2 linked regions of the Caenorhabditis elegans genome follow. The protein of the gene in region 2 interacts with the protein of the main gene of each other region in a pairwise test. Each region holds a gene or a part of one and is shown on either strand. Other genes may lie near its edges.

What was found.
Region 1: the proteins of unc-45 (region 2) and hum-2 interact in a two-hybrid assay, tested with the Caenorhabditis elegans proteins (one study listed by BioGRID).

The regions. Positions count from the first base shown.
Region 1 is NC_003283.11:9,384,029-9,390,023, forward strand, and holds the start of hum-2 (Myosin motor domain-containing protein), read left to right. Parts: upstream 1-2,146; 5' UTR 2,147-2,201; coding exon 2,202-2,258; intron 2,259-2,355; coding exon 2,356-2,469; intron 2,470-2,518; coding exon 2,519-3,036; intron 3,037-3,084; exon of another isoform or gene 3,085-3,086; coding exon 3,087-5,013; intron 5,014-5,062; coding exon 5,063-5,212; intron 5,213-5,259; coding exon 5,260-5,349; intron 5,350-5,995.
Region 2 is NC_003281.10:488,954-494,910, forward strand, and holds the start of unc-45 (UNC-45/Cro1/She4 central domain-containing protein), read left to right. Parts: upstream 1-2,593; 5' UTR 2,594-2,595; coding exon 2,596-2,684; intron 2,685-2,735; coding exon 2,736-2,863; intron 2,864-2,909; coding exon 2,910-3,036; intron 3,037-3,453; exon of another isoform or gene 3,454-3,882; intron 3,883-4,615; coding exon 4,616-4,694; intron 4,695-4,763; coding exon 4,764-4,892; intron 4,893-5,401; coding exon 5,402-5,957. Other genes in the region: F30H5.5 (Salivary lipocalin), read left to right, coding at 279-499.

The DNA of each region.
Region 1 (5,995 bases), on a different chromosome or scaffold from region 2:
CCAATGCTTAACTTTGTCCATCAATAAAATCACAATTAGCCCCGAATTCTTTTTTATAGGCGCAAGTGAATATATCAACGCATGTAACCTCGATTTAGAACTTTTATCGCTTCTTATTTTCTTTGTTTCTTCTATCAAAAACTGTTCGTTCTGGAAAATGCGCCAACATCACTTATTCGGATAAAAACACTAGTGCGCTTGTCATCCGTGTTTATTTTGCCATTGACTGTGCGTCCGCACTGTGATGAAAGTGATTGATCATCATTTCTGGTCAGTTTCTGATCACTTGATCGTTTTTCCAGAACTGATTTGTCTTTAATAGCTTGCCAATCTTCTTTTTTTAATGCCCATATGAAAATTGATATCACAAATATAAATATTTTTATTTGTGTTATTTTTATTAATTCATTTTGGCACTTTTTAAGCCACAATAGAAAAATAAAACATTGTTCACTGATAAATTCTAGGCCGACATAGATTTTTTACAGTAAATTGTTCATCGCTTCGAGACCCGCGCGCGCGAAAAGCTCGATGTCCCTTTAATTTTCGAAATAACTTCTAGAAAGTGACTTTTTAAAAAACTCATTTGGAATTAGTTTTTGTTCAAATTTTTGGAATTCGATTTTGTAAAATACCCGTTTTTTTCTTTTGAGAATTATTCGAAGTAGCTTCATTTTTCGTGTTATCTCCTGTTTTCAAAACTAATCACTTCCTCTGCTTTGCGCTCTTACTATATGTGGAAACAACTGTTTCCTCACATTCTTTTACTTCTTCAGGCAGATTTTTTTCATTTTCGGCGCAATTTTATGATGGCCGTCAACAGCTCGTCATCACTTGTCGGAAGCACTGAAAGTGGAGAGACTCTGTAGCGATTAGGCAAATGTTCGTTTTAATCTACCTCCATCAGCAGCGTTTTTAGTAGTAGACCGTCCCAATTTTCGCTTTTGAATTGAAATCGCTTCTTTCCTCGTTTCGCTTTCTACTTTTCGGATTTTGTCGGCTTGTACCCAGAATTGAAAACTAATGTTGTCGTTCTTTTTTCCCACATCACGATTTTGGTTTCTATCCATGTCTTCCTGTTTCCGAATAAGAAAGTGTGGAATTTAGCTTATTTTCTCCTTTTTCTCTATTATTTTATTATCGAAACAAGTGGTAAATACAGGATTATTAGCAGCTACTTATTGCCGATAAGAATTTCTTCGTATTTTAATCACTTTCTCTATTTCTCCGCTCTTCCTTTTCTCTGTTGACACCTTCACACCTTCGCAACGTATGCAGATTTGCTCTGGCGATAAAATTGCCGCAAGGCGCTGGTTTGAAATTTGAAATGGCAGCCGGCTGTCTTTTGTCACCGAAGCAACGCTTCTTTCGTTACTCCCGATTTACATACATTTTCTCCTAAAAATAGTGAACACGAAATTAATTTTTCATTACAACCCATAACGATTATACATTTTTTGATTATCAGCAAGTTCATAGGAGAGAGTAAATTATTATTTTGTTGTCATAAACAAAAAGTAGCTATAAAAAAAACAACGTCGAAACCAGTATTATTCCCTATTTCATTGTGACACAAAAAAGTAGTCCCAAAATGTGATAAATCACAAGTTTCCAAATGAGACTGCCCTTGATGAATAGTAACGAATTGAATAGAACAAGCTTCTTCTCAGTCTCTTAGCGGAGAGGAACACCGGCCGATAAGTGTCCTTGGCAAGTTGCACATGCTTGCAAGAGGCGCCAATTCAAATCTATCTTTTCTTTCCACTTAATCCTACACCTCCTCACTTTGTTTTTCATAAATGTTGAGTGGCGCGAGAGATGGATATTGAGGAATGTATATTTCGGCACCACCGGGGATAATAAATTTTTATGAGGCACCATGCAAAACCGTAGATCTTCGCTGTCTTCACGTCCAGTACGGGAAAAAGTGTTTCATTGCCGAAATGTTTATTTTTGCGTTTCCGAACCTGATAACCGGACAATATCGTAGAATGGGAGAAGGAAGGGCAAATACACAGTGATATGTTCATGTAAATATTTCACGTTTTTTCCTGTCTCAACTCAACATTTCACCAACCTATCGTTTCTCTTCGTTCTCTTCTTAACTTTCTTTAACTCGTGACTTATGTTCAATTATTCCAAAATATTTCAGATTCACCGAGCCTGTTCACCGAATCGAAAAAAGATTGGGAGCATCCAATATGGACGGAGGCGCCACTCTTGGCAGGGGCCAGTTGTTCCCGCTGCAAAACTTCAAGGTGAGAATTATTTAAATCCTACTATTAGATGCCATTTCAGTTTTAATAGTTTTTTGTTGCTCAACTTTGTTATTCAAATAATTTTGGAAATTTTCAGAAGGGAGTTCGTATTTGGCACCGCCACCCAACCCTTGTATGGATTGGAGCTACTTTGGAAGAGGACATCACATTCCAAACACGGAATGTTCGGATAAGGCTCGAAGATGATACGGTGAGAGAGTTTATCGCATTAATCGTTTTCAAAAACTTATTCGTTTCAGGAAGTCGAGTACGCCATCAAGTCATTGGACCAGTTGCCATTCCTCAGGAATCCTGCATTTCTTGTTGGCAAGGATGATCTCACACTTCTTTCCTATCTTCACGAGCCGGCAGTTCTTCACAATCTACAAGTTCGATTTGTGAAAGGATCATCGATCTACACATATTGTGGAATTGTGCTTGTAGCAATCAACCCTTACGCCGATTGCTCGCACATTTATGGAGAAGAAATTATCCAAGTGTATCGAGGAGCTGGAAAATCAGCTCGTGAGATGGATCCTCACATTTTCGCTGTAGCAGAAGAGGCCCACTTCGACATGGGAGCTTTCGGAAAATCACAATCTATTATTGTGAGTGGCGAGTCTGGAGCTGGAAAAACCGTATCTGCGAAATTTGTCATGCGCTATTTGGCATCTGTTGCAGCCAGCAAGACCAGAAATGGCGGGACCACCAGCATTGAAGCACGTGTGTTGGCGAGCAATCCGATTATGGAGTCGATTGGAAATGCCAAAACGATTAGGTTGGTTTATTTGAAATTAATCTTAATTTGTCAACTGTTTTTATTTTCAGAAACGATAATTCGTCTCGATTTGGGAAGTTCATACAGATTAACTTCTGTGAACGAGGACGAAGGATTGTCGGAGCCGAAATGAAGACATATCTGCTCGAGAAAAGTCGTCTAGTATTCCAAGCACCTGGAGAGCGCAATTATCACATCTTCTATCAGTTATGTGCCGCTCGGAATCATCAAGTTCTCAAAGATCTTCACTTGGGACCTTGCGAATCGTATTCGTATCTCACTCAAGGAGGAGACAGTCGTATTCCCGGAGTTGATGATAAAGCTGATTTCGAGGCTTTGCTGAAAGCGCTTCAGTTGCTTGGATTCGACGAAAAGCAGATGTCCGATGTATTCCGCCTTCTCGCTGGATTATTGCTTCTCGGAAACGTGCATTTCGAAAACGGCGAGGGCTCGTCCGCTGTATCTGCTAGCAGTTGTCAGGAGATTTCACGACTTTGCCGGGAGTTTTGGAAAATCAGTGAATCCGATCTGAGAATTTGGCTGACAAGGCGAGAGATTCGAGCTGTGAATGAGATCGTGACGAAGCCGTTGACCAAAAATGAAGCTGTTCGTTCGAGAGATGCTCTCACGAAAATGCTGTATTCCCATTTATTCGGATGGCTCGTCGACAAAATCAATGAAGCTTTGAACGAGAAGGATAAGCTGGACGGAACAAATCAAAAGAAGCGGCCAGATCGTTTCATTGGCGTCCTTGATATCTATGGATTCGAGACATTCGATGTGAACTCCTTCGAGCAATTCTCCATCAATTATGCAAACGAAAAACTACAACAACAATTTAATCAGCATGTCTTCAAGTTGGAGCAAGAAGAATATATTCGTGAGGAAATTGAATGGGTTCGTGTTGATTTCCATGACAATCAGCCCGCTATTGATCTTATCGAAGGTCCTGTCGGAATGATCAATCTTCTCGACGAGCAATGCAAACGTCTGAATGGATCTGATGCTGACTGGTTGAGTCAATTGCAGAATAGCACGGAGCTGAAGAGAAATCCACAGCTCGCATTTCCAAAAGTTCGGAGCAACGATTTTATTGTTCGTCATTTCGCTGCTGACGTCACATACAGTACGGATGGATTTGTGGAGAAGAACAGGGATGCGATTGGAGAGCAACTTCTTGATGTTGTCGTTGCCAGTAAATTTCCATTCATTCGCACAGTCATCGGATCAACTGCACCAACCTCCGTCTCTTCATCATCATCTTCATCGACACCCGGAAAACGTACGATAAAGAAGACTGTGGCCAGCCAATTTCGTGATTCACTCAAAGAGCTCATGTCTGTACTTTGTTCGACGCGTCCACATTACGTCCGATGCATCAAGCCAAATGACAGCAAAATCAGTTTCGATTTCGAGCCAAAACGTGCGATACAACAACTTCGTGCGTGTGGAGTTCTTGAGACTGTTCGAATTTCTGCTGCTGGTTTCCCATCTCGTTATCCGTATGAGGAGTTTGCTCGTCGATACCGTGTAATTTACACGAAGGAAGCTGCCCTGTGGAGAGACAAACCTAAACAGTTTGCGGAATTAGCATGCCAACAATGCTTGGAAGAAGGCAAATATGCAGTTGGAAAAACGAAAATCTTCTTACGTACTGGACAAGTTGCCGTTCTGGAAAGAGTTCGGCTCGATACGCTTGCAGCTGCTGCAACTGTGATTCAGAAGATGTGGAAAGGATTTTTGGCCAGGAGAAAATACGAAACGATGAGAAGATCTTTGCTCATCGTCCAGGCATCGTTGAAAGCATTCCTCGCATTCCGAAGAATCAAGTATCTCCAAATGCATCGTGCTGTGATAGTCATGCAATCTGCTGTTCGTGGATATTTGGAGCGACGGAAGTATGAACAAATTCGCGATTCAATCATTGGGATCCAGGCAATGTTTAAGGCGAATCGCGTCAGAAGATATGTGGAAAAGGTATGATAATTTGTTGAAAGTTTTTTATTAATTGTTTTTAATATTCCAGCTTCGCTATGAGAAATCTGCAATCACAATTCAAGCAGCTTGGCGTGGATATTTGGCGAGACGTGAGCAAATCGCTAACAGGAAAAAGGTGGTCATGGTTCAGTGCGCTGTCCGTAAATGGCTTGCCAAACGTCGTCTCCGGGAGCTTAAGGTGAGTTTGACTTCTTACTTATTCTAATATTAATTTTTCTGTTTCAGATAGAAGCACGTTCAGTTGGACATCTTCAGAAGTTAAACACTGGTTTGGAGAACAAAATCATCGAGCTGCAAATGCGATTGGATATTGCAGTAAGTTGAAGTTTAAGAGTAGATTATGAGAAAAAGCACTTAGTAATTCATTGTTTGCAATCACAATCAGCTTATGCAAAAATGCGCATTTTTTTTTGTAGTCGGAGACAATGTGCAAACATGAAATTTTTGCTCTTTCATCTCAATCAAAAAGCCTTCGAACGAATGAGAGAATTGTTAAGAAAGTTGTTGTATCTAAAACGGCAACATTGAATGAGCATGAGCTCCCTTCCCCTTTTACGATCTGTTTTATTTGCTCTTCGGAATATTTGATTGAGTTTCGGCAACTTTGTAGGCAGTGTATGTGTAGAAATGAGCTTCCTTGAAAAATCCCTTATTTATTATTAAAATATTCACCTGATCAGGGCTGTTGATAAAAAATTTGTTTCAATTTGGACCGAAAAACAGAAAGTTTTCAATTTTTTCAGCATATCAACTAAAACATAACATTTCTGAAAACAGCCTCTGACCTAATCTATCGAGAATATGATACTGATTGCGTGATTGTGGAAACATTCTGCAACTTTTGAATATTGAATTTGAATCCTAGGTGTCATAGGTTTTAAGCTTTTTTAACACCTAGATATTAGAATCTTCTCCATCTATAGCTTTTCAAATTGTTGTTTTCTGAAAAAAAAAGTCAATT
Region 2 (5,957 bases):
GTTGTTCCATACGGTTAGGAGTACGGTACCGTACCACTTTAGGCTGAAATGGACTTGTGCGATTTAAAGCACTAAAGACTGTTGGTATATTCTAGAAGTGAGGGATTAGAGAATCACTGTAATGACTACTGTAACGTGTGGTATGTGTGTGTACAGTGTAGTAACTTCATACATGAGTGTACTGTAGGAGTACAAAAGAAATTACGAATACTGAAGTGCTTACTGTAGAAAACCTACCGTTCTGAAAAATTATAAATCAGCCAGATCCAAAATTCCAGATCCAAAAATCAATATCAACACTGTGATGCTGGTATGGGGCAGCTATGACAGTATCGTACCACTTTACGCGGAATTCTTCAACGGACGTAACCCACCGTACTCCCAATTTATTGACACTAAGATTTTGATGAAGAAACCCGAACGAACAATGGATTTGTATGTGACTTTGAGAAAAAGTAGCGAAAGTTCCACCGGATGGACTGCGTTTAATTTCACATAATTTTTATTTTTTTGAATAATTATTTTTCGGGGAACTTGGTTTTGAATAAATTTTTAACAAATTGAACGTGGCTGCAAAACCTTGTAAGATATGAATTCTCATTAGCTGAGAAATTAAAATCACAGGCTTTCGAGAAAAAATTGGCGGGAAATTCGAATTTCTATTTAAAAAGTTTACAATATGCTAAAAATCTAGACAAACTTTAACTTTTCATATAAATTTGGCGGGAAACTCGAATTTAAATTTTTTTTTTTCAAAATATTTAAACAATTTTTTTTTTCTATTTAGAAGTTCAAATATGAGTTATTTGAAATTTCTTTTTTCTAAAAATTTTGCACGAAATTCAAATTCATGGAGTTCGCTCTGGTTCAGTGGCTGGTCTTCTAATGAATTATGTTTGTTTTTTCGAACATCGAAAGGAAATAAGCGGGACTCATTTCATTGCTTCCTCCTTCATTGCTTCCTCCTTTTCTCCCTTTCGAATTGTACTACGAGACCCCCTTTGTGCATTATTATTTTACCCCCATTTTCCACCCCAAGACAGTCTCAAGTTATAGGAAATCTTCACATGATTTGCTCACAGTGCATGCACACAAAAAGTTATAAGATCTGAAGAGAGACGCAGACAGATTATTCAAACAGCAAGGGCTCCCACCACCGGAGAGGATCTGCGGATTCCGCCGTAATTTTACACTATCCGTCGGGGGCCGGACACTACTACACTGCCCTTTCCGCTGAACAGACGTTTCTATTCGTTTTTCATCGATTTTTGCATAAAGTTCGGGTTTAGTGGGTTTAGTAAACCTAAGAATTTCTAGGTTTTTTATGAATTTTAGGTCCTTTTTTTGAATTTATATAATTTATTTTAATGTAAATACTATGAAATTTTTATTTTGATTTTTTCCGAAAAAAAAATATCAAAAATTCCAGAAATATTTCAGCCGACCCATAGCCGCCGGGTATAGCACTAGAGCCTCACGGCAGTACATATTTATTTAGAAACTCTAGTATTCCACGTGAAAAAATATATTTAAATATACCAGAAATTTTGAAGGAGTTGACGACTACAGTACTCCTTAAAGGCACACGTTTTTCTGATTTCAAGAAAATTTATCGGTTCGTGCCGTAGTTTTTGAGAAATCCGAGTGCCGTAGTTTTTGAGAAAAAATTTTCCTTGTGGTTGCCCATATAATTATTTTCATGACGAAAATCTGAAACGATGTTTTATGGGTCTGCTAAATATTTATCATACCCAACTTTGGTCTGCTAAATATTTAGCATACCCAACTTTGGTCTGCTAAATATTTAGCATACCCAACTTTGGTCTGCTAAATATTTAGCAGACCCATTTGGGATATTGAGTTTATCCTGAAATGATGATTTCCTTTGTTTAAATCCACTCAAATTCCGTTTTTTCTCTGAAATCCTCTAATCCCCTGAAAAAAACCTAAAAATATATTTTTTTTACTATATAAATTCGGATTTTTCCAGAAACCCCACATATTTTCGACTTTTCCCGAACTTTTCCCACTCGTTATCTCTATTTCTCTTCTATTCCCTAGGATATCTCTCCCGCCTGGGAGCTTTTCGAAAGCTCCAGAGCACCTGGGCGGAGCTCCCGCGGCAACTGGATTTTTTACCGTTATTCTTCATTCATTTTTCCAGGACATTAACAAATTTTCTTGCAGTGAAAATTTTTATTTCAAAAAAAAAGAAAAGAAAGTCAATTTTAGGATGTTATACATCTCCAAAATTCGTTAGTTTTAGCTTTAAAATCAAAGTTTTCATAAAAATTAAATTTGAAATCCCTCCAAAAAATAGTCTGCGCTTCACACTCTCTAACACGTGCCGGTGGAGCGCGCTTGCATTTTTCCTTTTTTGTTAATTTTTTTTTGCGGGAAACTTTTCGGGAAAATTACTCTAAAACTCAATAAAAACAGCTTTTAAGTGCATTTTTCTTGAAAATTAGTTTCAAAAATGATATTTTAATCAGTTTTACACCATTTTTGTCGATTTTTCCTCTTTTATCCGTCGAATTAATAGTATCTCCTGACAAAAATAATGATTTTATAGTTTTTTTTTTTTGGTTTTCAGCAATGGTTGCTCGAGTACAGACTGCGGAGGAGATCCGCGACGAGGGAAATGCTGCAGTTAAGGATCAGGATTATATAAAAGCTGATGAATTGTTGGTTTTTCTGAAATTTCAGTGGAAAACTGAAATTAAACTGATTTCCAGATACACTGAAGCTCTCCAACTCACCACTGACGAAGACAAGGCTCTTCGGCCGGTTTTGTACAGAAATCGAGCAATGGCTCGGCTGAAAAGAGACGATTTTGAAGGAGCACAATCGGATTGCACGAAAGGTTTACAAAAAACCTGGAAAATTTGCTGAAAAACCTAAATTTACAGCTCTGGAATTCGACGGGGCCGATGTAAAAGCTCTCTTCAGACGATCGCTGGCTCGTGAACAGCTTGGAAATGTTGGGCCAGCTTTTCAAGACGCAAAAGAGGCTCTGAGGCTCTCGCCAAATGATAAGTGCGTGGAAAAACTAGGCGAAAACCGATGAAAATTAAAAGAAAAATAATTTTTTCTGGCACTTTCCAGTTATATTTCAAAGTTTTTATGACCAAATTTCAGTGAAAAATGCAAAAGTTGCAAATTTTGGGTCTGCTAAATATTTAGCAGACCCAACCTCCCGAAACTGATTTTTAAAGCTAAAAATTATTAGAATTTTCAGACGTTTCTCTCCGAAATATAGCATGCCAATAGAAAAATTGACAAAAATCAAGGTTTTCTCATCGAAAATAGCAAAATAACTTTTAAAAATCTACAGAAACTCACAATTTTTGTTTAAAATGCCAACATTTATAAATTTTCTAAATATTTAGTTTTAAATTTGTAATTTTCTCACTTTTTTCTGTGAAAAAATATGCAAAATGAAACTGAAAAATCCACTAAAACATGTTTAAAAATTTATCTTGAAGAAAAACGTAGGAAATTTCAAATTTGCAGCTAAAAAATCAGCGAAAAAATTTTTTTTTCAAAATTTGAGGAGGTTGGGTATGCTAAATATTTAGCAGACCCAAGGAAAAATATTTAGCAGACCAAAGATAGGTATGCTAAATACTTAGCAGACCAAAGATAGGTATGCTAAATATTTAGCAGACCAAAGAAGGGTATGCTAAATATTTAGCAGACCCAAGGTGGGTATGCTAAATATTTAGCAGACCCAAGGAAAAATATTTAGCAGACCAAAGATAGGTATGCTAAATATTTAGCAGACCAAAGATGGATATGCTAAATATTTAGCAGACCAAAGATGGGTATGCTAAATAATTAGCAGACCAAAGATGGGTATGCTAAATAATTAGCAGACCCAAAGAAAAATATTTAGCAGACCAAAGTTGGGTATGCTAAATAATTAGCAGACCAAAGTTGGGTATGCTAAATATTTAGCAGACCAAAGTTGGGTATGCTAAATATTTAGCAGACCAAAGATGGGTATGCTAAATAATTAGCAGACCAAAGTTGGGTATGCTAAATATTTAGCAGACCCAAGGAAAAATATTTAGCAGACCAAAGATGGGTATGCTAAATATTTAGCAGACCCAAGGAAAAATATTTAGCAGACCAAAGATAGGTATGCTAAACATTTAGCAGACCCAAGGAAAAATATTTAGCAGACCAAAGATAGGTATGCTAAATATTTAGCAGACCAAAGATGGATATGCTAAATATTTAGCAGACCAAAGATGGGTATGCTAAATAATTAGCAGACCCAAAGAAAAATATTTAGCAGACCAAAGATAGGTATGCTAAATATTTAGCAGACCAAAGATGGATATGCTAAATATTTAGCAGACCAAAGATGGGTATGCTAAATAATTAGCAGACCAAAGTTGGGTATGCTAAATATTTAGCAGACCCAAAGAAAAATATTTAGCAGACCAAAGATAGGTATGCTAAATATTTAGCAGACCAAAGATGGGTATGCTAAATATTTAGCAGACCAAAGTTGGGTATGCTAAATATTTAGCAGACCCAAGATTTTCTCACAATTCCACTTTTAAGCACTTAAAAATTCAATAATTTCACTCAAATTTCTATTTTTCAGAGGAATTGTTGAAGTTCTTCAGCGTCTCGTAAAAGCCAACAATGATAAGATTAAGCAGACCACTTCACTGGCTAATAAGGTTGGTTTTGTGACCTGAAACCACGAATTTTAAATGAATTTTCATTGAAAAACCCCGAAATTTTCTCAGGTAACTGACATGGAAAAGCTAGCGTTCCGTGGTGAGGCGAAGGACACCGAACAGAAAATGACTGCGTTGAACAACTTGTTGGTTTTGTGCAGAGAATCTGAATCCGGAGCAACAGGAGTTTGGAATCAGGTATAGTTTTGGAAGCTGGACGAAAAATCTACATTTACTGGGAAAATTTAATGGAACTTAAAAAAAAATTTAAAAAATGGAAATAAATTGAAAAATATACCGTATATTTGAAAAAAAAATGCAAAAAAAAACTGAATTTTCTAGATTTTCAGAGCAATTTTCAGATTGTTTTTCGAAAAATTTTGCAGTTTTTATCTAAATTTTTCCGATATTCCTTAAATTTAATTGTCGAAAGTTCAATTTTAATTTTTTTAAAGAAATTTTTTTAAACTGAAAATTGTAATTTTTTGTAGATTTTTAAAATTTATTTTGCTACAACGAGAAAACCTTAATTTTTGCCAATTTTCCGATTTTGTAGAAACATTTGAAAATTCAACTTTTTAGCTTTTAAAAAATCAGTTTAAAAAAAATTATTTTTCAAAATTTTAATTTTATCAAAGTATCCCGAATTTGAATATTTTCCTGCAAAAATACCCAAAAAAAAAATTCTAATTTTTCCATATTTCCAGGGCGCACTTGTTCCATTCGTCCTGAACCTAATCAACGACGCATCGGAAAACGAGGAGGTTACCGTAACCGCAATCCGAATTCTCGACGAGACCATCAAAAATAGCGTCAGATGCATGAAATTCCTAGCTATGCACGACCCAGATGGCCCAAAATCCGTCCGTTTTGTGTGCCGGCTAATGTGCAAAAAATCCACAAAAGACTTTGTGGATGCCACTGGAATTCTGGTGCAACGTGTCTTCAATGCAATGGCTAAAATGGATCGGCAAAAGGAGATGAAGCCGGATCCAGAGGTGGCAGAAGCCAATAAAATCTGGATAATTCGTGTGCTCTTGGAGCTTCAAGAGATGCTTCAGGACCCGAAAGTTGGTGCAGTTCAGCGTGAGACGTGCATCGATTTATTCCTGAAAAATCTGATGCACATGGACGGTGGAATTCCACGTGGATGGTCGTGGAAGTTTGTGGAAGAACGTGGATTGCTCGCGTTGCTTGACGTGGCAAGTCAGATACCCGAACTGTGTGAATATCCGGTTTCTGCGGAGACTCGGCAACACGTGG